7 separate regions of the Mus musculus genome follow, and regions 1, 2, 3, 4, 6 and 7 are each reported to be linked to region 5. Evidence: microRNA targets listed by miRTarBase, many of them from high-throughput screens and not tested one by one. Region 5 holds a microRNA gene; each other region holds the end of a gene's coding sequence. Distances are between the middles of the regions.
The links. The annotated mature microRNA mmu-miR-124-3p reads UAAGGCACGCGGUGAAUGCC and lies in region 5 at 2,116-2,135, opposite strand. An mRNA with a match to its seed (bases 2 to 7 or 8) in the 3' UTR can be bound and repressed. Matches are read on the target gene's strand: a 7mer-m8 pairs with bases 2 to 8, a 7mer-A1 pairs with bases 2 to 7 and ends in A, and an 8mer does both.

Region 1 (4,066 bases), not on the chromosome of region 5:
GCGCCCAGCGCCCAGCCCCAAAAACGAAAGCCCCTTCAATAATGAAACCGAAACCCCTTCCCTATTTAGGAGAGTTATATTTCGCCTAGGACGCATCACTCCCTGATTGGCTGCAGCCCATGGCCGAGCTGACGTTCACGGGAAAGGTAGAGTACAAGTAGTCATAAAATACCCTTGGCTCATGCGCAGATTATTTGTTTACCACTTAGAACACAGGATGTCAGCGCCATCTTGTGACGGCGAATGTGGGGGCGGTTCCCAACATTAGGCCACTTCTCAAGCCTCTTCTCCCAGACGCGGGGAAGAGACAGGCCCAGTGCAGACTTTCTTCCTTCAAACTTACTGAGCAGGTGCCTGAGAAACATTGTGCGTATGCATGATCTGGAAGAATGCTTATTTCTCATTTTGGAGTGCCAGGGACAATACAGGAAGTGTCTTTCTAATGAGAGTTCATTAAAGTGAAAAGAAGAGGGGCTGAAAATGTCAGCCGGGCATATCTGAAAAGCCAGAGCTTGGCAGTAAAAAGCCACATGTGTTCTACTTAAATTGTTGGCATCAAGGAGACCGGGCATCCTGGAATTGCAGTTGTCCAACTTGACTGGGTGTGCCCCTGTCAAACTAATTTATCAATTCCCATTGTTCCCCCTTCTAGGAACTAATGTGCAGGAGGCTCAGAATATCCTCAAGAGCAGCGGACTCCCCATCACGTCAGCTGTGGACCTGGAGGATGCAGCCAAGAAAGCTGTTGCCAGTGTGGCAAAGAAGTGATGCTCTCCCTGGCTCCCATGAAGAAGGGCATGTCCCTGACTACTGTGAAAGCAATTGTTTTCTCACTGGGAAGGGACACACACAAGGATCATCATGTGAAAAATATTAACTCTGAACTTTCTCAAATACGTTATCCAGAGTGCCTAAAGCTGAATTTATACTGTAGTCATTGTTTAAAAAAAAAAATCACTCCTTACAATTTCACATCTTCTCTTGCCCATTCAGTAGCAGGGTCTACCAGCTCTGGGCCACAGTCAGTTTAGCCAAATAGTGTGCATACATACAGTATTTAAAGCCAGATCTAGGTTCATTCACAAGGGCATTTATTCTACATTAGAAAATTTTACAGGACCCTCAAGTTCAGACAGGCTGATATTTAACATAGTGGCTTCCAGAAGGGTACAGCTAAGACACCTGAGCTTCTGTGACCAGTGGCCTCCACTGGCCCCTAATTCCAGTACATTAAGAAAGCCCATGAACATTTCTAAAGTGTGGCTTATATTGGGCATCCCGTGTTGATATATGTACATTGCACACATTTTACCCTGTGCCTTAATGTTGAATCTACTGTTTGCCTCACACTAAGTTACTACCAGAAGCCTTAGTCATGGGTGTGAGGTGGAAGGTTTCATTTTGTGTCAGAGTTGCTGAATGTTAATCTATTTCATAAAGAGTCACACTAATGATCTAGCTGCTGGTAGCGGCCAGGCTTTTCCCTCTTGTCCCCTCCACCTCACATCTATCAGTTTGCCACAGAAAGATGAGAGATGCCATTGGACAGAATGTGACCTTCCTAATGATGTCCTTTTTTGTGACAGGAATTTTCTTAACTTGATTTTTTTGATTTAATTTTGATAAATTTATAGTCCTATACATTTTAAATAAAATTGTTTTTCAGTGCTACTTAGCCTCACAGTTCTTGTTTCTGTCTGTTATCTGTTCTTGTGAAGACACTAGCCTCTGTGCCAGAGGCCTAGCTCTAGTTAAGAAACTGCAGTTGACCCGGATTGTTCCAGCGCCACAGTGCCTTGCCATGTGACCATTTCTGTGGTGGTGATTCAGTGAAGGGCTAACATGTACACATTAGACACAAGCCCAGGAATCTGTCCCTGACGGTGGTCAGGGTGGTGTGGTGCAGTCACGCACTGTGCCGTGTAGCAGGGGCCACGTCGGTGTAACAGTCTTCCCATCCGTACGCCCCGGCACAGCGAGCCACACTTTATTTCATGTTAGCCTCACACAGTTCACAGATTGATAAAATAAAAAGTCTTCACTTGATAAATCCACATGTGCCGTGGAGAAATAAAGAAACATCGACTAGATCAAATCCTGCGTCTTTTCTCAAACATGACAAGGAGTGAAGACTATTGACAAGGTCTTTTTAAATCTCCTGTTTTCTGATAGCTGACTAACTAGTTTGCACAGTTAAATAGAAGTAAATGTGCATTTCCTCAGTTAGCAAACAATAAAGGAACTGTGTCTATCTTGTATATTGATGTTTCTAATCAACCAGTTTGGAGGGGAAAGAAACGAAAGCATACGTGTAGTTATTTTATAGAAGGGTTAATATTAGTTAATAATAGGCAAATAGTTTTTCTCTTCAAATGAGCTTCCTTTTCTCTCTCTTCCTTTCTTTCTTTCTCTCTTTCTTTCCTTCTTTCTTTCTTTCTTTCTTTCTTTCTTTCTCTCTTTCTCTTTTTCTCTCTTTCTCTCTCTCTTTTTCTTTATTTCTCTTTCTTTCTCTCTGTCTTTCTTTCTGTCTGTCTGTCTGTCTGTCTTTCTGTCTTTCCTCCTTTCTTTCTTTCTGAAGTGCCAATTGTGTGTGTTTGGATTGCTCAAATCCCCGATGTTGTACCAGTATCATGCCTGTATCCTGAAGTGTGTGGAACGGACCCTGCAATACTTAGTCATAGAGAATCTGCTGCAGCTATGCTGTTGGTTCCTAAGTCCCCCTATGTGCCCTACTCTGGTGTGTCCCATGTCTTGAATTTCTTAACAGCCTGTAACTATATAAAAATATTAAAATAGTTACCTTTCAGTCTTGTCAGTAGTGTGGGGTGTGTGTGTGTACACGCATGTGTACATGCGTGTGTACAGAGGCCACATGAGGATGTTGCATGTTCTGTTCAGTTACTAGGCCTTACTCACTTGAGGCAGAGCCTCCCACTAAGCCTGGAGCTAGACTGATGGCCAGTAAGTGCCAGTGATCCTGCTGTCCTGCCATCTCTGTTTCTTACAGAGCCAAGGTTGCAGGCATATGTGCCATGCCCAGCATTTTCTGTTGATGCCAGGGATTGTACCTCAGATCCTCACGCTTGCACAACGAGCACTGTTTCCCACTGAGCTGTCTTCCTAGCGCTCCTTATCAGTACTTTGGCTCTGTAAAAGCACAGAATGTCCGTGAAAAGAACGGTCTAAATATCCAAAGATGACCCCTGAACTGCTCAGTGTGTGTGGGTTTGTAACTGGCTTGTTCTTCTACTGTTGATGGCCACAGTTTCCTAGGACAGATACTGTATTTAGAGATTCGTCTCTGACTCTCCCGCTTATTACCATCCATTTCTTTGACTTGGTTAGCCTATTGCATTTGTCAGTCAGAGCCTTTCCGTTGGGGTTCTGTCTCCATTCATAAATTAGTAAACCAGCAGGGAAAGTTTCCAGATAACTGGACCTGGCTAGACCTAACCTAACCAGACCTTCGTGTGCATGGCTTTTAACGACTCCTTGTACAGTATGTGTCTGTGTCCTCTCTCTGCTTACTCCTCAAGGAAAAGAAAATCACTGTGAAGAACTATGTTTGTTTTTAAATTGGAAACTTGAATACAAATGGGAATAAAAATTCTTTTTGACACTTCTAAGTTATACATTTATAAGTCTAATGAGATCCTTGGCAGGATCTAATATATATTCAAAAATACAGTGATAGAATTTATAAAAATAGTAAAAAATAAATATTGGAGGAGTGGGGCAGGGTGTGTTATTACATAGACTTTGTGACCTGAAGGTGCCGAACTAAGGCAACAGGGCCTATTAGAGTACATTAAGTTTCTGTGTGTTATGTGGCCATGTGTATGCTACAACAGCTCACATAGTTGTCATAGAAACCTCATGACCCTAAAATATTAATCTCTGGCCCCTCACAGGAAAAGCATCTTAACCTCCACTTTAGATTTCAAAACCAAACCAAAAGCCAGTGGCCTGTTCTTGCCTTGGAATTGGGAAGGGCAGGTGTCGGCATCAAGGTGAAACAGAAACGAAAAAGTAGGGAATATGTTTTTCCTAATTTTGACCCTATGGG
Region 2 (4,066 bases), not on the chromosome of region 5:
AGGCTTCATGGATATTTTCATCCAATCATACTGTATATTTGTCTCTGTTTACCCTTTCTGCATTTCCTTTTCCTATATAATCCTCTTCTAGTTTCATGTCATCTATCTTTATAACTATATCAACATGTAAATATATATATACACTCTAAGACCCACATGTAAAAAACCTTATCTTTCTGACAATGGCTTTGATAGTTTCTTTAATACAATTTGCTACAGCTTGATTCATTTTTCTGCAAATATTCCTTTGTTCTGTAGATATCTGAATAAAACGCCTTTGTGTATGCATACCACATATTCCTGACCCGTTCCTCCACTGATTGACATTTAGTTTGGTTCCATAGCTTAGCCAATGGAGAACTATGGAGCAACAGAAAATGTGGACCCACAGGTGTCTCTGTGGTACGCTTTGAGGTACACCTCAGAGTGGTACAGCTGCATTGTACGACAGATCTAGCTTTAGGTTTTAGAGGAACGTCTCCGCAATCTCCACAGGGACTAGTTTTTGTTCCCGACAGCAGCGTGGATGGGTTCCTTTCCCCACATCCTTACCAGCATTTGCTGCTGGTCCACTTCATTGCAGCCTTTCTTACTGGGATGAGATGAAATCAGTGTGGGTTTTCTGTTTGTGAGGGTTAGGTGTTTTGAGCACTTTTTCCCCCTTATACTTAAGGCACTCAAACTTTACTGTTTATGTGCTTGCCCACTTATTGAGCTGTTTGTAGTTACTTTTTTATTGCTGTGATAAAAAAAAAAAAAAAAAGACCGTGTTCAAGGCAGCTCATAAAATAAAGTGCTTTATTGGACCTATGGCTTTGGAGGGTAGAGTCTATGATGGTGGCAACAGCTGAAAAATTCTTAAAACACCTGCAGGTAGGAGGTGGGGGAGGGGTGTCTTTTGGAACCTCAGAGCCCATGCCCAGTGACACACCTCTCCCAACAAACCACACCTCCTAACGCTTCCCAAAAATTCCCATCAAGGACACTGCAAGGGTCTGAGCCTATGGGGCCATTCTCATTCAAACCAACACAGAGGTTGTGAGGTGTGTGTTAGGCGAGAGTGTTCAATTCCTTTTGAGTTCTTTAGAGGCGTTAGTGCCCTGTCAGCCTGGCAAAGGTTTCTTCCCTGTCTCTCGTTGCTTCTCGTTATCTGAGGAAGATTTTGAATTTCATACAATCCTCTTCATCGTTTGCAACTTTTCCTTGAGCTGGAGCACTTGTCAGGAAACCCTGGCTCGTGCCTCTCTCTGCATGTTTTCCTCTCTCTCACTGACAGACCCGAGTTTCAGGCCTCCGGTGCCATTGCTCCCTTTTGATTTTTGTACGAGGTGATAACTAAGGATCTACTTTCATTCCTCTACCTGTGAATATCCAGTGTTTGTAGCACGGAATTGGTGACGTTTGGCTTTTCTGGTGTGTGTGTTTTATATTTGTCAAAAATTGGGTGCCCACAGCCAGGAAGTTTTGTCTTGGCCTTCTGTGCCATCCCATTCCACTGGTTTATGCATGGTTTTGTGCCAGTACCATGCTGGTTTTTTTAGATTTATTTATTTATTATATGTAAGTACACTGTAGCTGTCTTCAGACACTCCAGAAGAGGGAGTCAGATCTCGTTACGGATGGTTGTGAGCCACCATGTGGTTGGTGGGATTTGAACTCCGGACCTTTGGAAGAGCAGTCGGGTGCTCTTACCCACTGAGCCATCTCACCAGCCCATACCATGCTGGTTTTGATGCCATGGCTCTGTAGTGTAACTTGACATATTATGGGACCTTCCGTACTGCTTTTTGCTTAGTATTGCTTTGGCTATTTGGGGTCTTCTGTGCTTCTCTAAGTTTTAGGGTTGTCTTTTCTGTTTCTGTGAAGGTTTGTCCCTGGAGTTCTGCCGGGTTGCAGCGGATCTATGGGTTGCTTTTGGTAGTATGGCCGTTTTCACAGAATTAATACTGCAGACTGGTGAACATGCGAAGCCCTTCCTGTAGTGTCTTCAGTGTTTTAAGGTTTTCCGTGTAGAGGTCTGTTCTCATTTGCTTTCCGTTGCTGTCACAAACCAAGACCAAAAGTGGCTTGAGAAGGACGGAGTGTATTTCATCTAATACTTCCAGGTATTACACAATCCGTCATGGCGGGAAGGTAGGAATATAAGCAGAAACCACGGGGGATGCTGCTTACTGGCTTGCTCCCTCTAGTTACTGCTCAACTAGCTTCCGTAAGCAATCAGGATCACCTGTCTTAGGAGTGGCACTGCCCACAATAGTCTGGGCCCTCCCCTATCAACTGGCAATCAAGACAATCCCCCACAGACCTAGATACAGGACAATCTGATCTGGGCAATTCCTCAACTGAGACTCCTCCTTCCCAGGTGACTTAGCTCTGCCACATTGACAGTAAAATCTAACCAGGCCAAGGTCTTTCATTTCTTTGCTTAGTTTTCTTACTTTTAAACCCATTTTTATTTCTGAGGCTATTGTGATTGGGACTAATTTCCTGTCTTCTGTCATTGTTTTATAAAAAGGCAGCTGATGTCTGAATGCTGATTTTGCATCCTGTTGCACTAAGCTTGTTTCCTTGGGGGCCCTTTAGGTCACCTATGCATAGGACCATGCCGTCTGCACACAGGGTAATCGGGCTTCTTCCTTGCCTATCTGTGCGCCTTTCTTTTCTTTCTCTTGCCTTATGGCGCTAGCTAAGGCTTCAAGCACCATATTGAGTAAATGGAGTGGACATGGTTGTCTTATTTCTGACTTTTTAGTTTTTCCTTTATTGTATGTTGGCTGTAAGTCTGTCATACGCAGCCTTTATTGTGTTGAGGTATGTTTCTTCTATTCCCAGTTTCTTCAGGGCTTTAATCATGAAGGGATGTTGGACTTTGCCAGAAGGCTTTTCTGTTTACTGAGATGACCATGTGATTCCCGTCCTTAAGTCTATATACATTCTGGATTGTATTTATTCATGAATGCTGAATTCAACCCTAACTACTACTCCAGTGTCAACTTTGACCACTTAGCTTGTCTGTGTAACCCCTACTAGAAGGAGCAGGTCTGTTCCCATGTTCAGAACACTGCACATAATATACTGTCCTAGCTTAAGACACTGCCCTATAAGCCACCAATTACTTATGTTTCTCTCCACTGAACTGCAATAACTTGAAGGTAGAACCTACCACCTTTCTGATAACCAGGACTTAACAGAGCCTGAGTAACACAAGAAGAAAAGTTCTTAGAGTCCCAAAGTGTCACAATTCCCTAGGCTCACACCAATGCTTTGACCTTTGTCATGAGGCTGGAGAAGTGGCTCAGTGGTTACCAGCACTGGCTATTGTTCCAGGGGAAGTTTGGCTTCCAGCATCCACAAAGCAGCTCACTACCATCTCTAACTAATTCCTGTTCCAGGGTATCTAATACCCTCTTCTGGATTCTGTAGGGCACCAGTCATGTAAGCAGTACACAGATTTTACACACAGGCAAAACATTCAGACATAAAATAAAAATCATGTAGAGACCTCCCCCCTTTGATCTCAACATGATGCTCTTTTATATAAAGGCACTTTATTTAAAAATCAACTTGTCTGTGTAAACAAGTCACTCTCCAAGTTCTACTATTCGTGTTTTGGAGCAGAGTGTTCGGTATTTTTCTGGGCTTACAGAGTAAACTGACATGGTGTTCAAGAACTTGTCCAGTGGACAGAGCTTGTCGGGGCAGCCCCTTGGTACCTGCTCCTGGAAAAGAAACAGAAGTCAGCAGGTCTGTAGAGAGCTCCACCCTCTGCCCTTAGTTGAGCCCAGAGGCTCAGCCACACAGTATGGATGAGCACACATGTAACAGCCAGGAAGACCCAAGTTTCCAGACTAAAAAGCATTGCATCCTGACTGACTAGATGAGAGGCCTTAGCAGAGTTCTGGCCTTGAGCTGAAAGAGCTAATAGTCCCACCCCTGCAGAGTACACAGTTCCTCTCCTAGACATCAATAATGCTGGGTTAGCCAGGGCACCAAGACACCTCTGTGACTTCCTAAAACAGGCCTCACAGTGAGAAGGTACAGCCTGGCAGACACACTCAGGAGAGCT
Region 3 (4,055 bases), not on the chromosome of region 5:
TTTTTTTTTTTTTTTTTTTAAAGATTTATTTATTTATTATATGTAAGTACACTGTAGCTGTCTTCAGACACACCAGAAGAGGGAGTCAGATCTCATTATGGGTGGTTGTGAGCCACCATGTGGTTGCTGGGATTTGAACTCAGGACCTTTGGAAGAGCAGTTGGGTGCTCTTACCTGTTGAGCCATCTCACCAGCCCGCCACTGAGTTCTTAACAGACACAAAAATCCACTAACTTTTTGAAAAGCAGGCTGGGCCATTGAGATGGTTGTGTACAGGTACTTGCAGGCAAGCCTGAGGACCTGAGTTCAATCCCCAGGGTGTGCATGGTGGAGGACAGAACCCATTCCCACAGGCTGTCTTCTAAACACTCACTTGCTCTAATGTACACTACCACATGCACACAAACATGTTATTTTAAAATTTAAAAAGATAGACTAAAAATCTCTACCCTCAGTAAGATGACAGCCAAATCAGGGTAAGTTAAGGACTGCTGGAAGACCAGCAGTATTAGGGAAGCCACTGTAGTTTCGGCCCCTTCCCTCTTACCGGTAAAGATCCTCTTTATCACGCCTGTAGAAACGCAGGAAGAGCATATGTATGGGCAGACCTATTAGACGCCAGCGGGCTTGCAGGGTCCAGTTCTCAGGGTGGCGGGTCAGCTGTAAAATCTCCAACCGAAACTGTGCAAAATAGTTCCAAACCAGGAAGCGGCAAAGGGTCAGGGACATAACATAAAATGTCCGGCCCCTGTGAGAATAAAGGGACAGGAATATCAGGACTGCAGAACCAAAACTGATTCTGCCAAGGTGTGGGGGAACAGTCTCAGGAAGCAGCTAGAACCTTCTCTGGGACAAGACCCAAGTATTTATTTAGCATGGGTCCTCTTCTCCCTCCCTCGTCCCAACTCTCACTTGGTACGAATGTTCAGGATCTCATTGATGAATTCCACATCCATTGAATATATAGTGTAGTCATGGGAGCGAAGGAAGAGGGTGGGAAGCTAGGTGGAAGAAGAAGGCATCAACTCAGCAGGAAAGGTTCAGTCCTTGAGCTTGGAATCCTCTTCCCTCAACCTCCAGAGTATAACCAGTTTGGCTCCTCAGTAATCTATCTTTAGGGTCTTCTAACTTCCACTCACCCTCCCCCACCCCCGCCCCAAGTGAAACGGCACTTTCAATTTAATGGTCCTTAATTCAAACAGGGACACCCTTTCCCCAAGAAGGCATTTCACAGCACAGTAACGAGGACAAGTTAACTGACTAGTCTCCATATTTCCCTGCTACAGATGGGCTGCTTACCTCTTGTCTTAGTCTCTCATGCATGACAGCCAGGTGTTCCTCCATACTCTCATCTCCTGATGGAGTGGTGGGGGAAGAGTGGGAAGGTCCAGGGGCTTGGAAAGGTATCACAGCCCCAGGATAGGGGCAAGGCGGTCCCTCAAAAAGGCTCCTAAGCCCATCCAGGCAACCACTGTGTAGTTCCGGTCCTGGTCCCTTCTCCCTCTTTCTCGGAGGAAGAACCATACTCAATGAGTTGAGAGCCTGGGCCTGAGAGAGAGGTGGTGGAGGAGCCTGGGGAAGATGGTGGGTAGGAGGATGTGAGGGTGGTAGTGACCGGTGAGGAGGAAAAGATGGAGAAGTCGGTGGAGTGGAGTGGGGCCAGAGCGGGGGGAATGGTAGAGGTCGAGGAGAGAGCTGGTCCTAGGGAAAAGAGAACAAAAAGAAAAAAATCAGACATCTAAGCATGGTGGTGTAGGGGCTACCATGGATTCCAGGCCAGCCAGGGCTACACAGACCTAGTTTTAAAAAACAAAACCAAACAAAGGAACAAGAAATCAGCTCATGCTCCTCCACCCCAGCTGGGCTGATCAGAAGCTTCAAGTCCTACCTGCAGAAGAGAGTTTACCAGAGGAAAGGGAGACATGAGGAAAGAGCGCAGGAGGACAACAGCACCAGGGCCACCGTCCCCAACTTTAGAAAGAACACCTATGATTCCATCATTATCCTGGTTTACTGCTCCATGGGAGAAATGATGCGATCTATATATAACATGTATCAGGATTCTGAAATAGAGCTGTGCAGGGCAAAGAACATCCAAGTGAAGGTGTGAATAGTTCTGAGTTGACTCTGTTGGAACCTCTGGGCACTCTGCCTGCACCTCAGTTTCCAGTAAATAGAGGAGAGGCCTATATAACAGGATGATGAATGTATAAACTTCGTCACCCATAAAGTAGTACATAAACGGAAGCTATTATCATTATATATTACATATATATTCTATATTATCATTTTCTGCACCATTAAATGACAATCGGGCCGATTGCTGAAGGGTGAACTCGGTCACTAACGCTGCTACTGCAAGGATGGCAGGTCACCCGAGGTCAAGCCTGATTCCAAGTCCCTTGGCGCCCAGGAACCCCAGGGGCAGGGGGTCCATGGGGCCTGGCCGAGCCCTCTGGGAGCCTTCCCCGTCGCCGGGGGCGTGGCCGTGCTCCCGCCGTCCCCCGGAGCCCGACCCGGTGCAGCGGCCAGCCTTTCGGGCAGGACCGTTCTGCAGGTGCACCACAGGCCCGCAGTTCCGGCCTCTCTGCCCTGCCCTTCAAGTCACCTCCAGGCACAGGTAAGAACGGCGGGGACCGGGGCCACCCGGGATAGCCGCTCCCCGGACCTCACCGGGAACGCCGGCCCTAGCGGGCCCCGCGCCCCTCACACGTGCAGCACACGGGTGGTCAGGGGCGGCGGGGGCCTCTGCGCCTGCGCGGCCCGGCGCCCCGCCCCTCGGCCGGCTCTGAGGAGGGTCTCCGCCCGCCCCTCCTCACCTGGGGTCGCGCCTGGTAGGCGCGGAGGCAGGGCCCGAGGCGCCGGGCGGCCCCCGGGCTCGGACGGTACATGGTGTTCCGGGAGTGAACGGGCGCCTCCCGCGTCCCGTCTCCGTCTCCTCGCCGGGCAGCGCGCCCCGGAGCCGGCTTCGTGAAGGGGAAAGGAGGGAGGGGGGGGCCGGGGCTAAGGGAGGAAAACGGAGAGACCGTGCGCCTGCGCACAGCGGGCCCGCAGCAGCCCAGGCGCCGCTACGCGGGAGTGCGCTTGCGCACAGCGGGCCGGGGCGCTCCCAGGGCGCCTGCGCAGCCTCTTGTCAGGCCTAGCAAAATGAGGGGAGGTAGGACTGAATATAGTTTCAGGAGAGAGACTGAGGGGCATGTGAATTTGAATAATGACAAGTCACTTTTTGTCGGTAGCTATAGTGATAACAAATAAATACTTTTATTGCTCTGGTTAAAAATAACGATACAAAGGATCTGAGGCTGACAGGCCTGTTGAATGAATGAGTGAATGAATGCATCCATACTGAGGACTAAGCTTTGGCCATGGTTACCAAGGCCTGGTGCTGCGGCGTTCCTGCAGGTTTCGAATGACCCTGGCGTTCATTATGTCCCCACCCACCGTCCAGGACTGGGGGGGTGGCGCCTGGGCCCTTGGAGCACCTGTCTGTGTAGGCTCCTCCCCAGACCCATCCAGTAACAAGACCCGATCCTCACTGGCCGACCTGGTGGGCAGGGAGATGAAGCGTGTGTTAGAGCTGCTAACGGGGAATTACGCTGAGACAATTCTTCAAGGTTGTGGGTGCAGGGTAATGTACAGACACCTGTTGGGTTTTAAGGCTGGGACAGTTACCACGGTGTCCAAACTTAAGTACTCAGAGCACGACAGAGGGGAAAAACACCAGAATTCAAGCCACAAGGAAGAAGGCTTATACGACGTTAGGTAGAAAGATGTGTGGGGGAAACTGGTATCCAGTTCACACAGACTTAGGAGGAAGCAGGAGGAGTAGTGTTAGGCAGTGTCAGAAGGTGCTGGCAGCTGTTAAGGGGGAGGTGTAGACCTCACCTATCCTCCGCTTCCTGTTCCCCCTGCTTCCGTTCTTGGTTGCCTGTGGAAATACCAGGCATCTAGGGAGACTGTAGTCGTATGTGTGTGTGACCTATTTGGTTGGAGAATAAGAAAAAGTGGCTACTTACCTGTACCCAGGAATGAGGTATTGAATCCCCCATGGCGGC
Region 4 (4,066 bases), not on the chromosome of region 5:
TCTGGGCCTGGGCAGCTGAGCAGGCAAGGGTGCACACAGGCCATGGGAGAGGCTGGAGATGGGATATCAGAGCAAAGATCACTTCTTGGGCCAGTAGGAACTAGACTGAGGCCTCCAAGGCCTCCAGAGTGGCGTATTCAGAGGGTGCACCGCTGATTTGACGCATGGCTACTGGTGTCCTGGGGTTAGAGGAATAGGTACTACCAGGACACACAGAGACTGAGTTAGGAGAGAGAAAGGAGCCTGCACACCTGCCATGGTCCAAGTTGCCCTTGTTGGATATCCTTAACCTATGTTCTCTCTCACCTTAGCATCAACCCTCTAATAACCCCAGAAAGGCCAGGGAAGAGTGCACAGAGCTCTCTCTGGGTCCAAACTTGTTGAGCAGGAAGAGCTTGTTGCTCATGTGTGGATCCCTAGGGCCCCTGTTCATGTACCTCCATTGTCCCAGCTCTATCTCCACCTCCCATGGGCTGCAAGGAGGGAGCAAGATACGGACAAGGTCCCCCAACTCCTGGTGGTCTCAGGCCTCCTGTAATTAGGAAATGCTGAGGTTTCAAGTCCCCCACCCTTAACCCTGTGGCACCAGGCCACATTGAAAGAGTTGGACCTGGTCCTCAATGGAGGTCCCAATATTCCCGGCCTATGTTTAAGGCCATCATGGGTGGGGCTGATGCAACTGGCGAATCGTAAGTAAATAGCAAACACAAGTAAAGCCCTTGTTCCTTTATTTAACAATAAACAAGGTTGTTGTTTCTTTTTGCATTGCGTCTGGACTTGCCTGCCAAAGAAAAAATATGGGGGAAGCTAGAAAGAGCGCCCTGGTGGACATTTCATTGACATTTTGGTTACAGAATTATCACCACTTTTAATTTGGGGTCAGATTAGTTTGAAAATGTCCCAGACAGCTGTCTTTTAGCTTCACCACCCGTTGCGTACACTGCACTACACCAAACACAGGAGATGTGTATGGGCAGCCAGAGATCTGATGCTCTCAGCAGATATCGTGAGGTCGCAGATGGACCCTTTCTGCGGACGTGAAGACCAGGGTGAGACTGCAAACGCTGCTCCTGTTGTGTGGGTGGATGCCGTGGAATTTTGACGGGGCCGCCTCATTGATGTTGGTTTCTTGATCTTTGGTCACGTTGGAAGGTGAGGTGGTGGCACTCTGAGGGAGGCACCTGCTCTGGACCATCCGGCTTCCACGGAGTTTTGGGTTTTTGCCTGCCCTGTGCTTGGCTTCCTGGGGGCACATGCATGTCTACTCCCCTCCCAGACTATGCCCCTCGGCCTGCACATCCCACAGCTCCAAGAACACTCACTGCCTTACACTCTGCAGGTGCTTGGAAACACTCCCTGGCTGGATGGATGGTGGATGATGGATCTTTTGGATGGAGGAGGAGTTGCTAAGAGAACAGCCGGGCCCCCTTTATCAGGAGAGACACAGAGACACGGCTGCTCTCCACAACAGGGAGATCAAAAAAAAAAAAAAGTGGCGTGGAGAAATAGGCTGTTTTGTCCAATTGTAGAATTCCAAATTGGGAAACCGAGGAGCAGAATTATTCGCAGACTCGGTCAAGGTCTCACGCTGAGAGGCCAGGAAGGGTATCAGAAACCCTCCTGGCATATGTCAATACTTTTTTTTTAAATTTTTTTCGATTTTATTTCTTAAAATGAACTCAAAATGAGATGGGATAATGAGGTGATTGTGATGGGGCTGGTTTGCCTCAGGGCGGGACTGATTGAGGCAGGGGAGGGGCCTGGAGGGAGGGAGGGAGGGAACCAGGGGAAGAGGGGCTAGGAGGCAGGGACATGGGAGGTGGTGGAGATTTGGGGAGCTGGGACACACCCTCATCAGGATGAGGCTGGGGCCAAATGGGGGAGGGGTTTCAGGGTGGGACTGGAAGGGGCTTGGGCTGAAGGTAATGAATGACCAATGGCTGGGGAGAGATTCTTTGAGTCAGGGCTTTGGGTGAAATGAACCTGGGGTAGAGGTTGGAGGGGTGATTGGGTCGATAATGTGTGACAACGGAGACGCGTATGACCAATGGCTGATGACCATGAAGTGTGTGCTGTGATCATGATTCGAACAGCAACGGTGACAATGACTTGCAAGCAAGTACTCAGAGCAAGGTAAACACGGCTCACACTTAAAGCTTAGGAGCATAGGTTCCTACCCAAATAATCTAAGAAGCAAAATATTCCTAACGGGGACCCAAGGACTGTGTAGCACCCAGACCCCAAACAAGAGTCAGGGAGCTACACAGGGCTCTCTCCCATTTCTTTCTACTTTTTTTTTGTTTTGTTTTTTTGTTTTGTTTTGCAAAAAAAAGATAGATGCTCTTTTAAAAAATAAGTCAAAATTCTACTTAAGAAGCTGGCTAGGTGTTTGGGGATCTGAGGGTCCTAACTTCAGCCACACAAAGGTACATCCATGGCTGTGGACAGCTGCTTTCCCGCTTTTGCTACAGAACAAGAAAACACCCCACAAGCCATAGTGTCACTAAAGCCTGTGCAAACCTTGGTGGGGGCTGCATTGCTCACTCAGATTCTGCCCGGGGGGGGGGCACTTGTGGTTCGAGGTACACTGAAGTCTGAAAGCACATCTCTACTCTACATCAGGGTGAGGGGCAGATATGGGGTGGGGTTTGAGGGGCATGAGGTGGAGTCTTGGGCTAGGGTAGGGAATGGGTTGCTCAAGAGGCAACACCAAATGGCACATTTTTGACCTAAAGGGGCCAATTTTTCCCAAACTGGACATGAGCCAGGAGGCTCCCCATTTTGAGAAACGCTATCGGGATCGACGTCAATATCAAGTGTACAGCCAGGATAGGCCAAAACCTTTCGGATCCCAGGATGAGACCAAGTCTCCATCAGGTCCTACTCTTGGAGTCAAGAAGTGTTTTGGTATATATCCATCGTTCCTAATTCTGAATTTGGGAGCTAGAGAGGACTTTGGTGTTTGGGTGTCTGCACCCCTCCCTTATGGGGAGGGGTGGGGAAGTGGCCCAGGGTTGGAGGTGGGGGAATCTCGCCAAGGGTCACACAGCGAGTGCGCAGCTGGGTTAGGACTAGGTCCCGACCTCTCTGCCAGCAGCCAACCTGGGGTCTCTCTCTGCCTGGCACACAGCCACTACACACTGCAGAGTCACAATCAATCGGAAAGATCTAAGGGTTGCGGTGTGAGACTTGATGTGAGTGTGCGTGAGAATTAACGAACGAAAGAGTTTAGCCCTTTTCACAGTGAGTGGTCAAGCACAACACTCTTATGGTTTCACGAGGACCTGGTGGCTGACACCCCCCCCAGGAGAGGGACCTCAGCACTAAGTCCTGGTTCTGTTACCATGTTTTTTTTTGGTCTTTTTGATATTTTATATTTGATACTTGATAAGAGTTTAGAATAACATACTTATTTCTTTAACTCATTTAGAGATGAAATTCTTATTATTATTATTCATTATCATGCATTAATAGGGAGGAAGGGGTTCTTAGATAGCGTGGTAGCATGGCACACAGCAACACAAGACAATATATGTAAGCATAGCGTTCACTCGATTCCACACAATAGAGCAAACTCCACCACAAAAAGCGCAGACTGCGTAGAGAGCTCTAAGGAACCCCGGTAATAGAGAAGGGCCTGGGGTGGGGTGGGGTGAAGGGCCTGGGAGTGGGGGTGGGGAACGCTGCTTAGATCTCCTCATCACCAGCCTCCTTGTTGAAAGTGGTCATGTCAATCTTCTCGGGGAAGATGATATTGACCGCCAGCTCCTCGCCGCTGTTATACTGCAACAGGAGGTTCTTCTTCTTGCGAAGCATGTGGTTGTAGCGCAGGTTGGACACCCAGGTTTCGCACTTGTTGAGAAAGACGATGGCCACGGTGCCCAGCACCACCAGGCTGGTGAGCACGCCCAGGATGGTGAAGCAGATGGCCTGTCCCTCGGTGAGGAGAGGGGTACTCTTGTTGAGCTCTTTCATGGACACCTTCAGGATGTGTTGCTCGGGCTGCTGAACAGGCAGCTCGTGCACCCCGGGGGTCAGGCGGTAGGTGAGCCCATAGCCGCTGGGC
Region 5 (4,066 bases):
ATGCCCCATGTCTGCTAGCCATGCCCAGATTGGTCCTGTGCCCCTGAACTGAAGCCCCTAGCCTCCACTGAAGGGGGTGCAATGAAGGTGAGTGAAGGTGATTGCTACTCAACCTGGGCTGGGGCACAGGGCAGCTTGCCATGGGCTTTACCGCCTATCCACTCTCCAGCCCACCTCCCTTACCATCCTCCCCACCCCGATCTCTGCTCACAGCCCAGAAGGTCACTGTGGTCAGGAGCCAACTCTCCAGCAAGGGCAGCGGTGGCACAAGAATGGAGCTCTAGTTCCAGGGGAGAGGCAGGGGGAATCTTCCCTCTGGGAAAAGAGCCAGGCTGCAGTGTAGAGCACCCCCAACAGAGCTCAACGAGGGGCATAGTCCTGTGCCCCCTAGGAACCTTTACACTAGAGGACTGATACCTCTACCAATTCCTTCAGTATTGCTTTGAGTTCACCTTGCAGCTCTTCTGAGGGAGGAAGGGAAAAAGAGACAGCAAGCCCAAGGTCAGAGCTGTGGTATGCTTGGGCCCCTTCTCCACCCTCCAAGAGGCAGAGGTTCTGCAGAGGCTCTGCTTTGGGGACAGGATGCAAAGGCACTAGTGGTCTATGAGTGTGTGACTGTGTGCATCTCTCCATGGAGTACTGAAGCAGTCTCCCTGCAGCATCTCTTTGTGTCTTCACGCGGGCCCTTTTGTCTTGCTTTTCTGCAACTGCACAGGACTTGAGGCTAGGAGAATTTGGGCGGTCAGTTCTGGATCTGGGTCAGAGCCAGGAAAGGGGCTCACACTCACCCCATGAAGATGAAAAGCAAGTCTGCAACTTGTCTGAGGGGGTGGGGGTGCAGAGGTTGTGACCTCCTCCACTGACAGTCAATCCTAGGTCATCAGTTTCCAACCTGTGTATCAGGACTCCTTTGCCAAACTCTATCTCTAAAAATATTTACATTAGGATTCATAACAGTAACAAAATTGCAGTTATGAAGTAGCAACAAAATACGAAGTAGCAACGAAAATAATTTTATGGTTGGGGGGAGGGGTCACCACAACATGAAGAACTCTATTAAAGGGTAGCAGCATTCTGAAGGTTGAGAACCATTGCCCTAGGTAATAGGGCCTGTAACCTTGGGGATCGGAAACCTTGCTGGGAGGAGACATGCCAGAGCAGAGTCTCATACCAGGACGCCAGCAGGTGGCGCTGGCTGCCGAGGACAGGAAAAAAAATGCCTGCAGCAGACCTGAGTGGGTGTCACTGCGGCTGCAGATGGTGGTGGGGGAGGGAGGAGGAGGATTTGTCATTTTCTCTCTGGGCTGCAGAGCCTCACGTGCCTCGCGTCCCGCATAGCTGGAGAGAGGTTTGGGGGCGGGATGCGGTCCAGTGTATCCACCCAGATTTAGACCTTGGATGCAGATGCAGATCCCCCACTTCCACAGCTCGAACCTCAACCTAAGGTTCAGGGGTTTCTTCAGAATCAAAGTGATCACCGCCTTCACCCTGCGACCCCAACTAGAGCGCCCAGGGGACAGACTGCAGTGACCCCAGACCCTACCCCATTTCTCTGGGGTTGCTGCGGCAACTATCCAGGGCCCCCTAGATGGGAACAGTGATACTCATGACATCCCTTCGCCCCAAGCGCATTAGCGCCCCGTCTCTCTGGGTGACTCCACGGCCAGCACCGAGGACAGCGCCCAGGACTGCCCGTGGGTAGCGGGACGCGCCAACACAACCCGGGAAGCTGCACACTTCCCTCCCGCGCCCCTCAGCCCGCCGCTTCCCCAGCCCCTCCCTTTGTCTTCTGGCCCTCGTCTCCCTCTTCGGGATCTCGAGCACTCAGAGCTGCGGACACACGTGGTCAGGGGCCGGGTGGCCACATTCTCCCCCGCGGTCGCCCCCACCCTTCTCGTGACGTCCTAGGCATGCGGGCCCCTTTGTGTCCCGCGGCCAGATCCCCGGCCCAGCAGCTGGGCCGCCCTCTGGGCGGGCGCATTGTTCGCCGGATTTGTCCGCGGAGCGAGGGGCCACCGGGGGCCGGGGCTCGCCTTTTTCCCGCGGGAGGGGCGCCGCGACGGCCGGGCTCCCGGGCCATTTCCATGAGAAAGGAGCGGCGGAGGCGCCTCTCTTGGCATTCACCGCGTGCCTTAATTGTATAGACATTAAATCAAGGTCCGCTGTGAACACGCAGAGGGGCCCTCAGGGCTGCGGCGGGCGGCGAGCGGCTGGACCGGGTCGGGGCCGGGCTGCGGCTTGCGTGGGGTCCTAGCCTGAGGGGCGCGAATGCTCCAGCTTCTTCGCCGCGGGGCGGGCGGGCGGGGCGGGGCTCCGCGCTAAGCTGGCAGTGCTGCCCTGGTCCGCCCCCAACTCCGAGGAGCCAGTTTTCCTTCCCCTCCCCGAGGTAGAGAAGGGCCCGGGCAAATCCCTCGGGGCGTTCCTGCAGTAGGGACCCCTCGGAGCCGCGGCGAGGGAGATGCAGGAGCCGGCCGGGGTGAGCGCGCGTGCTCCGGCCTGCTGCAGTCTTCTGACGGGTGCAGAGCCCTCTCCACCCCGGCGGCGCAAGCCTCTCCGCAGCTGCCCTTCCCCGGCTCCTCTTCCCGGCCCCACCAGGAGTGCGTGAGTGCGGTGAAAATAAAGAACCTCGATGTTCGGAGATGAAAAGCAGTCTCTTTCTACAACCCGCCGAGCTCTCTTCTCTTACGCCTCTGGCTGGCGAGAAGCTGCTCGAGGAGAGAAAGACGGGGTGACCTGAGAGACCGGCTCGCCCCGGCACGGGCCGCCAGCGCAGTTACCCGTCCGGGCGCGAGCCGCCGCCGCCTGCTGCTTCTCGGTTGCCGCCTCCGCTCCGCAGCACAGCCTGCGCTGTCGCCCGATCCCGCCTCCGCCTCCTTCTTGGCGCCCGCAGGACCCGCACGCTACGGCCCCGGGTGGAGGAGAGCGCAGGGACAGTGCCAAGGAAGCCGGGCAAATTCCTGAGGGCCGGGTGGGAGCCCGGCGTCCGCGAGGTCGGCACTGCGGGAGTCTGACTCCCACTCTCCTTGCCTAGACCGGGTGCGACCGTCCCCGCGCTCGCCGCCGCCGCCGCTGCCTCCGCTCGTATCCGCGCTCGGCTCCGGCACCGGGCGATTATCACTGGGGCGCGCGGTGACGTCACCCGACACCGGCTCTGCCGCCTCCTCTCGGAGGTGTCCTTGAGAACTGAGGGGCACGCGCACCGCGTACACGCGCACTCACGCACCGCGCGACCCGTGCCTCCCGCGCACACGCTCGGCGTCCCGCTCCGCGCGCTCCTCGACTCACACGGATGCAGCCCTCGAACGCCTTCGATTGTGCCCGGCGCCCCGGGGTCACACGTATGCAGAGAAACTGCCTCTTGGACACTCTCGAACCGCTCATTCTGTCCTACTGCACGACCCACGCAAAAGCTTCTCCCGCAGCCCACCGACCGCAGCTCCTCTACACCCACCACCAGCCACACCCCGCTGTGCAGCGAACACACTGTGCTTGCCTCACACAAGCGGCTGGTCCTTCCGGAATAACCACTCTACACAGTGGCTTCTGAGCCTCTCTCTCCTGGGGGGGGGAAAGAAAGGGGTCCTAGCCTCCTGCTGGCGGCCCTATGTGGAGAAGGGAGTTAGACATCTCCCCCAACCCCCATCAGAGACTGCTCCCCTTTTTCACCCTTTTTCTAGCTGGGTAGCGAGTCCTTGCTTACGAGGATGGGAGAAACACAGTCCATACTTCACAGTTGACTGCAATTGAATCTACTCTTTGCAGTCTATTGAAGGGTGACTACCTTGATCTGGGTCTTTAGGGCTAGAGATCAGCGGCTTTCCAAAAATAAAAAACAAAAAAAAAAAAAAAAAAAAACCCACGCCACTCTAGGCCTTCCCAGCGGGCCTTTGTTCCTGCAGACTGGAAGAACCACACAGAAGTAGGCAGGCCTCTGTCCTATCCTTTCTCCCTGGGCCAACCCAGCCCTTGACCACCTGCCCTCTAACAGAAGCTAAATGACCCAGGCATAAATTCTTCCCCCTCCCTTTCCAACCTTCTCCAGCCCCGTGGGAACCCCCGAAGACAC
Region 6 (4,066 bases), not on the chromosome of region 5:
GGTTGACTGGCCAGACAGCTACCTGTGTGACTCTCCGCCTCGCCTGCACGGCCACAGGCTTCAGGATGCCCGGCCCTCCGTCTTGGAATGTCACCAGGCTGCACTGGTGTCTGGAGTCTGCTGTGCCCTTCTCCTGTTGATCTTGCTCGTAGGTGCCCTGTGCCACCATTTCCACGGACTGTGGTACCTGAGAATGATGTGGGCGTGGCTCCAGGCCAAGAGGAAGCCCAAGAAAGCTCCCTGCAGGGACGTTTGCTATGATGCCTTTGTTTCCTACAGTGAGCAGGATTCCCATTGGGTGGAGAACCTCATGGTCCAGCAGCTGGAGAACTCTGACCCGCCCTTTAAGCTGTGTCTCCACAAGCGGGACTTCGTTCCGGGCAAATGGATCATTGACAACATCATCGATTCCATCGAAAAGAGCCACAAAACTGTGTTCGTGCTTTCTGAGAACTTCGTACGGAGCGAGTGGTGCAAGTACGAACTGGACTTCTCCCACTTCAGGCTCTTTGACGAGAACAACGACGCGGCCATCCTTGTTTTGCTGGAGCCCATTGAGAGGAAAGCCATTCCCCAGCGCTTCTGCAAACTGCGCAAGATAATGAACACCAAGACCTACCTGGAGTGGCCCTTGGATGAAGGCCAGCAGGAAGTGTTTTGGGTAAATCTGAGAACTGCAATAAAGTCCTAGGTTCTCCACCCAGTTCCTGACTTCCTTAACTAAGGTCTTTGTGACACAAACTGTAACAAAGTTTATAAGTAACATAGAATTGTATTATTGAGGATATTAACTATGGGTTTTGTCTTGAATACTGTTATATAAATATGTGACATCAGGAGACCGGTTTCTCTGTTTTTCTTTATCTCTCTCCTGTATTGATATCTGAATAACCTGTTCACTTAGAACATCTGGAGACAGCACATTTAGACTGACGGTTTAGTGCCTGTATCCAGTCAGTGCGACATAGGGTGGCTAGAGAAAGCATTTGCTAATCTACTCACCTGCCATCCCTCTGTGTAGCTGATCCCAAGGGCAAGGAGTCACAGTATTTGGGGCATCCAGGCAAATCTGTTGCTCTTCCTAGACAGGGGGTTGTGTCCCACCATCCCACCAGATCTTCCAATATAAATGACACAGGCTGCATTTTTGTGTGAACTAGGTTTGTCTTTCTGAGTCCTTGATAGTTTTCTCTAAGTATAAATTACCTATTAATTTGTAAGGATCTGAAAGAAGTCTCCCATGTCCTGGTGCAGATTTCCACTGGATTTCAGCTATTAATTTCCAGTGTCTGGTTGCTATGGTTTCTGACCCCCTTAGGCATTCTGTTGCTTTTTCTCCTGTGCAAAGTCTTATAACTAGTTCTACGAAGCTTTTCTTTTTTTGTTTTGTTTTTTTTGTTTTTTTTTTTGTTTTTTTTTTTGAGACAGGGTTTCTCTGTGTAGCCTTGACTGTCTTGGAACTCACTTTGTAGACCAGGCTGGCCTCGAACTCAGAAATCCACCTGCCTCTGCCTCCCGAGTGCTGGGATTAAAGGCGTGCGCCACCACGCCCAGCTGTGAAGCTTTTCTTTTTCTGTCTGAAAAAGAAAATGTGAAAAAAAGATTTTTAAAATAATTATATGCCCAGAGGTTTCTTATGATTCAAAATAACTCCATATGTGGTAGATTCCACTGCCTTTAACGTTTATAAGTAAGATTTGATCATGTATCACATTTTAATGGAATTTACTAAGGGTTCTTCACTGATTCTCGGCAACTTTCTTCTGGTGCTGGGAACCACATGTACAAGGAAATGAACCTCCTTTGACCCCTTTCAAATTCTCGGCCAGAGCTGGGTTTATGTGGTTAATTGGGTTTTGGCGTCAGAGATACTTAGCTTAACAGATGTGTGATTTTGAGCAAGTCACTTGGCCTAACCCAAAACTTTTTCCCATCCTTAAAATGGGCAGCAAGCTCTGTGCATGCTGGATTATGCACAGGGTTTGAGCTGAGGTAGAAGAAAACCATACTTCCTGGCTGCCATTGTGGCCAGAAGGGTTATGGAGGCAAGGCTATCAGACTTATCCAAATGGGACCTAGGGGTACTGTGGAGTTAGATAGTTATAGATAGTTGCTACTGATGTTACTGTTTTACATTAGTGTGTAATGAGCTTTAGTGTGGGAAATTATTCAATGTTTCTTTCTTTCATAAGCTCCCAGGAGAGTACTGGGCAGAAAACATAGGCCAGCCTGTGAAATAAGTGAACATATTCAGATTATTGTTACCCTTGAGGAGAAACCACAGAAATCCATCACAGCAATAAATGTACTTCCTACTTTCCCACTTCACACGGGCATCTCCACCAAATAACCCAGAAAGCCCAAACAAAGACTCATTTCTCTATATGTAACTATATATTTAGCCAGAGAAGTGTTGACTTGACCCATTATCAATTTTAAATAATTTAAACCACAATAGAAATGGCTTCATAGTTTGGTAAGTTAAAAATGACCTTTAATCTTCATTATTCATAGAAATGAAAACTACTTTCAGTGAAGTGGCCGGATGCAAAATTATACACACGCGCGCGCGCGCGCGCGCACACACACACACACACACACACACACACACCCTAATAACCCCCTATAACCAGTAGCAGACACACTCACTTTCTTTCTTCAGTGTGTTAACCATTTTCATTGTAGAGGTATTTCAGTTGTCAGTGAAATTTAACGCCCACCCCCAGGGGGCTGTCAATGGTGACATCGTTTGCCTGGCTGAAGAAGACACTAAGATCTGCTCTGCTCATAGATGCAAAGCATTTCATTATGAAAGTGGCCGTTCTATCAAAAGCAGACCACAGAGCCAATGTGACACCAATGAAAGCTCATATATTGTTCTTCATAAAATTAGGAAAAAAGTCTTCACAATTCATTTGGAAGAAAAAAAAAAACCCAGATGATGAAAGTCATCCTAAGCGAAAGGAACGCTGCTAGAAGTGTCACCATAGCTGATTTCAAACTATACTGGAGAGCCATAATAACAAAATTAGCATAGTGGCAGCACCAAAATAGACATGTGTGCCAGTGGGATAAAGTAGAGATCCCAGTTATAATACAGACAGGACAAAAGGCTGAATCTTCAGCAAAAGATGCTAGGAGAACTGTGTGTCTATACACAGAAGAATATAGCTACACTTTATCTTCCATTCTGTACAAAAATCAACTCTAAATAGAGCAAGTACCTCAGTATAAAAAAACTCTGAAACTGATAAAGGAAATGGTACCAAGAAGTGGGTTCTTTGCAATGATATTTTTACCATTTGTAAGCCTTTGAAACTAGTTTGTGGGAATAATGTGGAAGAAATTGGAACTATAGGTGCAACAAGTCCTTGCTTGCTATACTCAGAGATTACTGGCCATTCCACTAGGCTTTTGAAATACCAGAATGGCAATAGAAATGCAGACAGTAGTATCGGTTATTTTTTTATTGCTGGGATAAAACACTATGACCAAGGCATCTTTGAGAAGGAAGGGTTTATTTGGACTTGTGGCTCCAAAGAATAAGAGTTTATCACCATTATGACGGGGCAGAATGGCAGCAGGCAGGAATGGCTACTAAAGCAACAAGCTGAGAGCTCATATCTTGAACTACAAGCGTGAAGTAGAGAGAATAAACTCGGAATAATTCAAGTCTTTAAACTCTTAAAGCTGGTTCCAGTGACTGACTTCCTCTAACACTGCCACACTTTCTAGGCCTCCCAATCAATGGCATCAATAGTGAACCAAGCACTTAAACATTGAGCCTATGGAAAGCATTCTCATTCAAAGTACTACCAGAGTCCAGCATGTCATTCTTGGACCAGTTCATTCCAACTGGTCTTATGTATTCTGTTGGCTAAGTTCTTTTTGCCACATGAACTTACTTCTGCAACAAATATTTCTGAATGGTTCCTCTTGCTGGGCACTGCTTTAAGTTCTGCTGTAGGAGATGCAACAGATGAAACTTGGCTTTGTGGAGTGGAAGACAAACAGAAGCATTTGATTTTAGATACTGGTGCATTCTCCAAAGGAGGCACCATTAGGT
Region 7 (4,066 bases), 110 Mb from region 5:
AACTCCCTATGTTGACCAGGCTGGCTCAAGCTCAGAGATCTACTTACAGGTGTGTGCCGCCATGCCGCTGTAACGGTGAAAGGCAGGCGTGGTGGACCCACGCTATCAACGAGCAATAGGACATACTCTGTCTTGACTAAAGGAGATTCCACCAGTGTTGAGTAGAAGGCAGTGCCAGTTACACTAAGCCTTTCCCTACTGTTATTTCTACTGTGGAAAATGACTTACTTATACAGCTCTTCAAAATTATCCACCAGTTCTCCAGCACATGTCAATCATTGGCAGTGTATTAGAAAAGGGAAATCTAGGATAACTCTAAGCACACGAACTCTACCTGCTTTGCCCACTAGGCTATCTACAGTGCAAGCCTGCCTCAAGCACTGCTAGGAGATGGTTGAGAGTGCAAGACACCTGGCTACAGTTATTAGTGTGGTGTATGTAGGGGATGCGCATGTGCACAGTGCACGTGTGGAGAACCACAGATAACTCACAGGATGGTTGGTTCTTTCTCTAATTCCACCATTCGTGCTGAGGAAAGATCTCCAACCCTATCCCTAACCCAGGCTTGATGGCCATGCTTTTACCCACTGAGCCAGTGCTGGCAACTAGTTACAATTCGTTGAACCTGTACAGATATTGAGTCTTGATGATGAAACAGACTGCTGTCTAAAGGACACGAGTATATTTCTAAGATCCTTAAGTGGCTCAAATTTTTTTTTAAAGCTGATCCATCTTTTCAGTTTTCAGTCACCCCGAAAATGCACCACGCTGCGGTAGAATTCTGCTTCTATGTCTTCATGTAGAAATCTCAGTGTAAGACACTGACCATTATTAAATGTAAAGGCATCAAAACCAGCCAGCATTTGGAATTACAGTGTGGAATAGTCTTTTATTTTTCGAGACAGGGTTTCTCTGTATAGCCCTGGCTGCCCTGGAACTCATTCTGTAGACCAGGCTAGCCTCAGAAATCCGCCTGCCTCTGCCTCCCATGTGTTGGGATTAAAGGCGTGCGCCACCACTGCCTGGTGAAATATTCTTACAATCCTTTCCTACACTACACTGGCACACTCACTAACTGCCCAGGTTATAAAAATCACTTGCTGTCCATTCCCCAACCATCAACTCTATTTTCATACCTAAACCACATAAAACTATCGCTGGCAGACAAAATGGCTCACCTTAAGAATCTAAAAACCTTCCAGGTGTCTTTAAAAGTAACTCTGGAAAGCGTCCCCTAGAGCTTTGTCACATTGTCTCCATCCATTACCATTACAACAGAGCAAAAAGGTGCTACACCTTAAAAAGAATCTAAAGTAAACTAATTTTAAATTCTTCTTGTCTGAAAACATTTCTTAGCTCTTAAGCAGAGAGGGGGATAATTTTTTTTAATTCCTTGGAGAGGGCAAAGTATTTCACAAGTAAAAATAGTACGTTTATTGACAGTTGTACAAAAGATTCCAAAATATTTCATCATTGCAGTAAAGTGTAATTGAAAGCTAGTAAGTGCAATACACTGAATAAATGCCACTCAGGAGCATGATCTATTATTTCTTACAAAGTCCTCAATTAGAAACAGCAGGTATACGGTGTATATTTTCCAACATTTGGTAGTATTAGCTAAAAACCCTGGGCCAATAGGACCTGAGTTTCAGGCCCCTCACCTCTCAGCTAAGGATCTGGGCTGACCACCCTGGCGCATGCTCAGGCTGCATGTTCCTATCACTGGCACCAAAGTTCTATTTTGTGCCATGTCACATGATTTGGCTTTTGTATTACAGATGTATGTATGTGTAGGACACAGAGTGAAGACTGGATAAAACATGTCAAGAGTGACATGTTTTAACTCACTACATTTTCCAAACCAAACCCCCAAATCCCTCTAGGCAAGTGGCAAAGCATGTTTTCCAAGTACTTCCCCATCACCTAACAGAGGAGGTTATAAATATCCCAGACAGTGGACAGTGATCAGCAGAGACAGCTCAGGCTGGGGCACCAATTCTGTGTGACTCTGGGTCACTGAGAGAGAACCCAGGTGTCATTACCTGCTCCATAGGTTTGTATTCTAACACAAATAACATCAATACTTCAAAGCGTTTGTTGCAGACTTTAAATCAACACATAGCTGCAAATGAATTCTGTAGTTAATATAAGCTGACTTTTCTTTGATTTAAAAAAAAAATCTGGATATTTTAGAAAAATACATGTTCTTAGTCACCACTGGAAACCAAGGTGGCTGAGCCTTTGGTCACCTGACCTCTCGCTGTCACCCTGGTCTTCCCGCTAATGCTTTAGCTTGCACCAGGCTTGAGATTCAGATTATGTCCCCTAATGTGTAGCAACCCGACAAGCTTCCCAATCTAGTCTGTCACTCTGACAACAGCAGTAGTCACGATTCACTCCCAAATATAGTTCCAGCCAGGCCAGCCATGAGCCTCACCTGGTCCCTGGCCTTCAGCCTCTGGATCCCTGGGTGGGACCCAGAGAATCTCACGCTCATCCTCAGATCACCTCAGCAGTCGGTCAGCTCGGCCTGGGCCACTTGGTGCTTCCCAAACAGTTTACTCTCTGCTGCCATTTGGCTTGTTTTGGGACTAACGTTTCTCTTGTAAGCCAGATGTGGTGGCACACCCTTCTCATTCCAGCGCTCAGGACACCGAGGGCTTTGTAAGCTCAAGGCCAGCTGGGGCTACACAGTGAGACTTTGTTTTTAAAGAAAATCCCTTGTGCTGACAGTAAACTCGATAACCACGCTCTGGACTTAGCTCCATGGGGAACCAGTCATTACAATCCACTGCAAAAAAATGATGCCATGATCAATTCATTTCAGCACTCTGACAACCTGTGTGGGTTCTAACGGATCACTGTGTTGTTCTTCGTGGGAGATAAGAAGACCATCTGACTAGGTGTCACCACTCACAGATGATAGAACTCCAAAAGCAGAGAGGCCGCTAGCCAGCTACTCCACGTTCTTCAGATGCTTCTAGCAGAAGTAAGTGAAAACTTGAAAGAAATACTCAGCTTCCTACAGAAACCAGGAACTTCACACCCCATACCATACCAAGGGTAGTTGACCAAAATTATGTGTGTTCAAAACCACGCCCAATTAACCCAACACATCAGAATACAGTTGGCATAACCGATCCTTTAGGAGCTTCAGCAAACACTAATTGTGAAGATCACACGTGAAATATTTGGAACAGTGTGGTTCCAAATACATGTCTTCCAAATTTAGCAGAAACCACATGTGGATGTGCCAGGCGTCCCATGTGCGTTTAAGAGCTTCGGAATGTGGTCATGTCTTTCGGCTCTCGGCTGGGCACACACCAGTCGTCAGCCTCGTGGTTGGCTTTGTAATGCTTCCAGGCGGCTTTATTGTACACAGGGAGTCTCTCGACGGATTCTGTCGACAGAGCCTGGGGTTGAAAAGAAGTCAGACACTTCTGAGAGTTCGTTATCTGAGATAATATACAGTGGCAAACAGCGACCACAAAGTAAACAGGGTTCTGCTGGCATCTCATCAACTAGTTACTAACCACACACCATCTTCAGGGTGGATACATTAGGAAATGCTATTTACTACAACTGGAGCACTGGTAACACACTAGTTGGGTTTGATGCTTCAGGTATCCGCTAGCCAGCCTGGAAAAGTCTACCCAAGCAGAACAGACATCTCTTGAAAAGTGCAAGCCCAGCCAGGAGTCTGCTACTACTACCTTAATATTCATACACAGATTTATTGAGAAGAAAGCCAATCTTTTTCACTATATAGTAATGTATTATTAAAAGCGTTACTATGCAGGAACGGAGATGGCTCGGTGGTTAAGAGCACTTGTTGTTGCACAGGAACTGGGTTCGGTTCCTGGCACACACATGCTGGCTCACCACTACCTATGACTCCGAGCCAGAAAACCTTATGCCCTATTCTGACTTCCACACACACCAGGCAGACATGTAGTACAGAGACTCACATGTAAGCATAACACTTGTACACATAAAATAATCTTCTATAAAAATTAAAAACTGAACACACCAGTATTGGCATCAGTAAACACAGAGCTCGGTCTAA

Region 1: miRTarBase lists Suclg2 as a target of mmu-miR-124-3p. Seed matches in the 3' UTR shown: 8mer at 1,316-1,323 and 7mer-m8 at 1,792-1,798.
Region 2: miRTarBase lists Acp6 as a target of mmu-miR-124-3p. Seed matches in the 3' UTR shown: 7mer-m8 at 3,541-3,547.
Region 3: miRTarBase lists Atat1 as a target of mmu-miR-124-3p. The part of its 3' UTR that is shown has no 7-base or 8-base seed match.
Region 4: the mRNA of Dlk1 is a reported target of mmu-miR-124-3p. The part of its 3' UTR that is shown has no 7-base or 8-base seed match.
Region 6: the mRNA of Tlr2 is a reported target of mmu-miR-124-3p. The part of its 3' UTR that is shown has no 7-base or 8-base seed match.
Region 7: miRTarBase lists Pdk1 as a target of mmu-miR-124-3p. The part of its 3' UTR that is shown has no 7-base or 8-base seed match.

What each region holds. Positions count from the first base shown.
Region 1 is chr6:95,471,751-95,475,816 of GRCm38, reverse strand. Suclg2 (succinate-Coenzyme A ligase, GDP-forming, beta subunit) reads left to right here. Exons shown (of 11, transcript NM_011507.3): 11 at 653-2,808. The coding sequence ends at 768. Among named protein-coding and RNA genes, the nearest start is that of AY512915, 140 kb to the right of the region's middle.
Region 2 is chr3:97,175,984-97,180,049 of GRCm38, reverse strand. It overlaps Acp6 (acid phosphatase 6, lysophosphatidic), which reads right to left. Exons shown (of 10, transcript NM_019800.4): 10 at 3,474-3,719. The coding sequence ends at 3,582. Among named protein-coding and RNA genes, the nearest start is that of Acp6, 19 kb to the right of the region's middle.
Region 3 is chr17:35,894,372-35,898,426 of GRCm38, forward strand. Atat1 (alpha tubulin acetyltransferase 1) reads right to left here. Exons shown (of 13, transcript NM_001142744.1): 11 at 4,017-4,055; 12 at 3,886-3,928; 13 at 3,224-3,544. The coding sequence ends at 3,370. It overlaps 2310061I04Rik (RIKEN cDNA 2310061I04 gene), which reads right to left and starts at 3,007. Exons shown (of 6, transcript NM_001033630.1): 1 at 2,820-3,007; 2 at 1,300-1,701; 3 at 913-1,001; 4 at 548-748. The coding sequence starts at 2,891.
Region 4 is chr12:109,459,982-109,464,047 of GRCm38, reverse strand. It overlaps Dlk1 (delta like non-canonical Notch ligand 1), which reads right to left. Exons shown (of 5, transcript NM_010052.5): 5 at 712-4,066. The coding sequence ends at 3,688. Among named protein-coding and RNA genes, the nearest start is that of Dlk1, 8.6 kb to the right of the region's middle.
Region 5 is chr2:180,892,152-180,896,217 of GRCm38, reverse strand. It overlaps Mir124a-3 (microRNA 124a-3), which reads right to left and starts at 2,178; the gene lies at 2,111-2,178.
Region 6 is chr3:83,833,045-83,837,110 of GRCm38, reverse strand. It overlaps Tlr2 (toll-like receptor 2), which reads left to right. Exons shown (of 3, transcript NM_011905.3): 3 at 1-839. The coding sequence ends at 691. Among named protein-coding and RNA genes, the nearest start is that of Tlr2, 6.5 kb to the left of the region's middle.
Region 7 is chr2:71,899,331-71,903,396 of GRCm38, reverse strand. Pdk1 (pyruvate dehydrogenase kinase, isoenzyme 1) reads right to left here. Exons shown (of 11, transcript NM_172665.5): 11 at 1-3,413. The coding sequence ends at 3,273. Among named protein-coding and RNA genes, the nearest start is that of Pdk1, 28 kb to the right of the region's middle.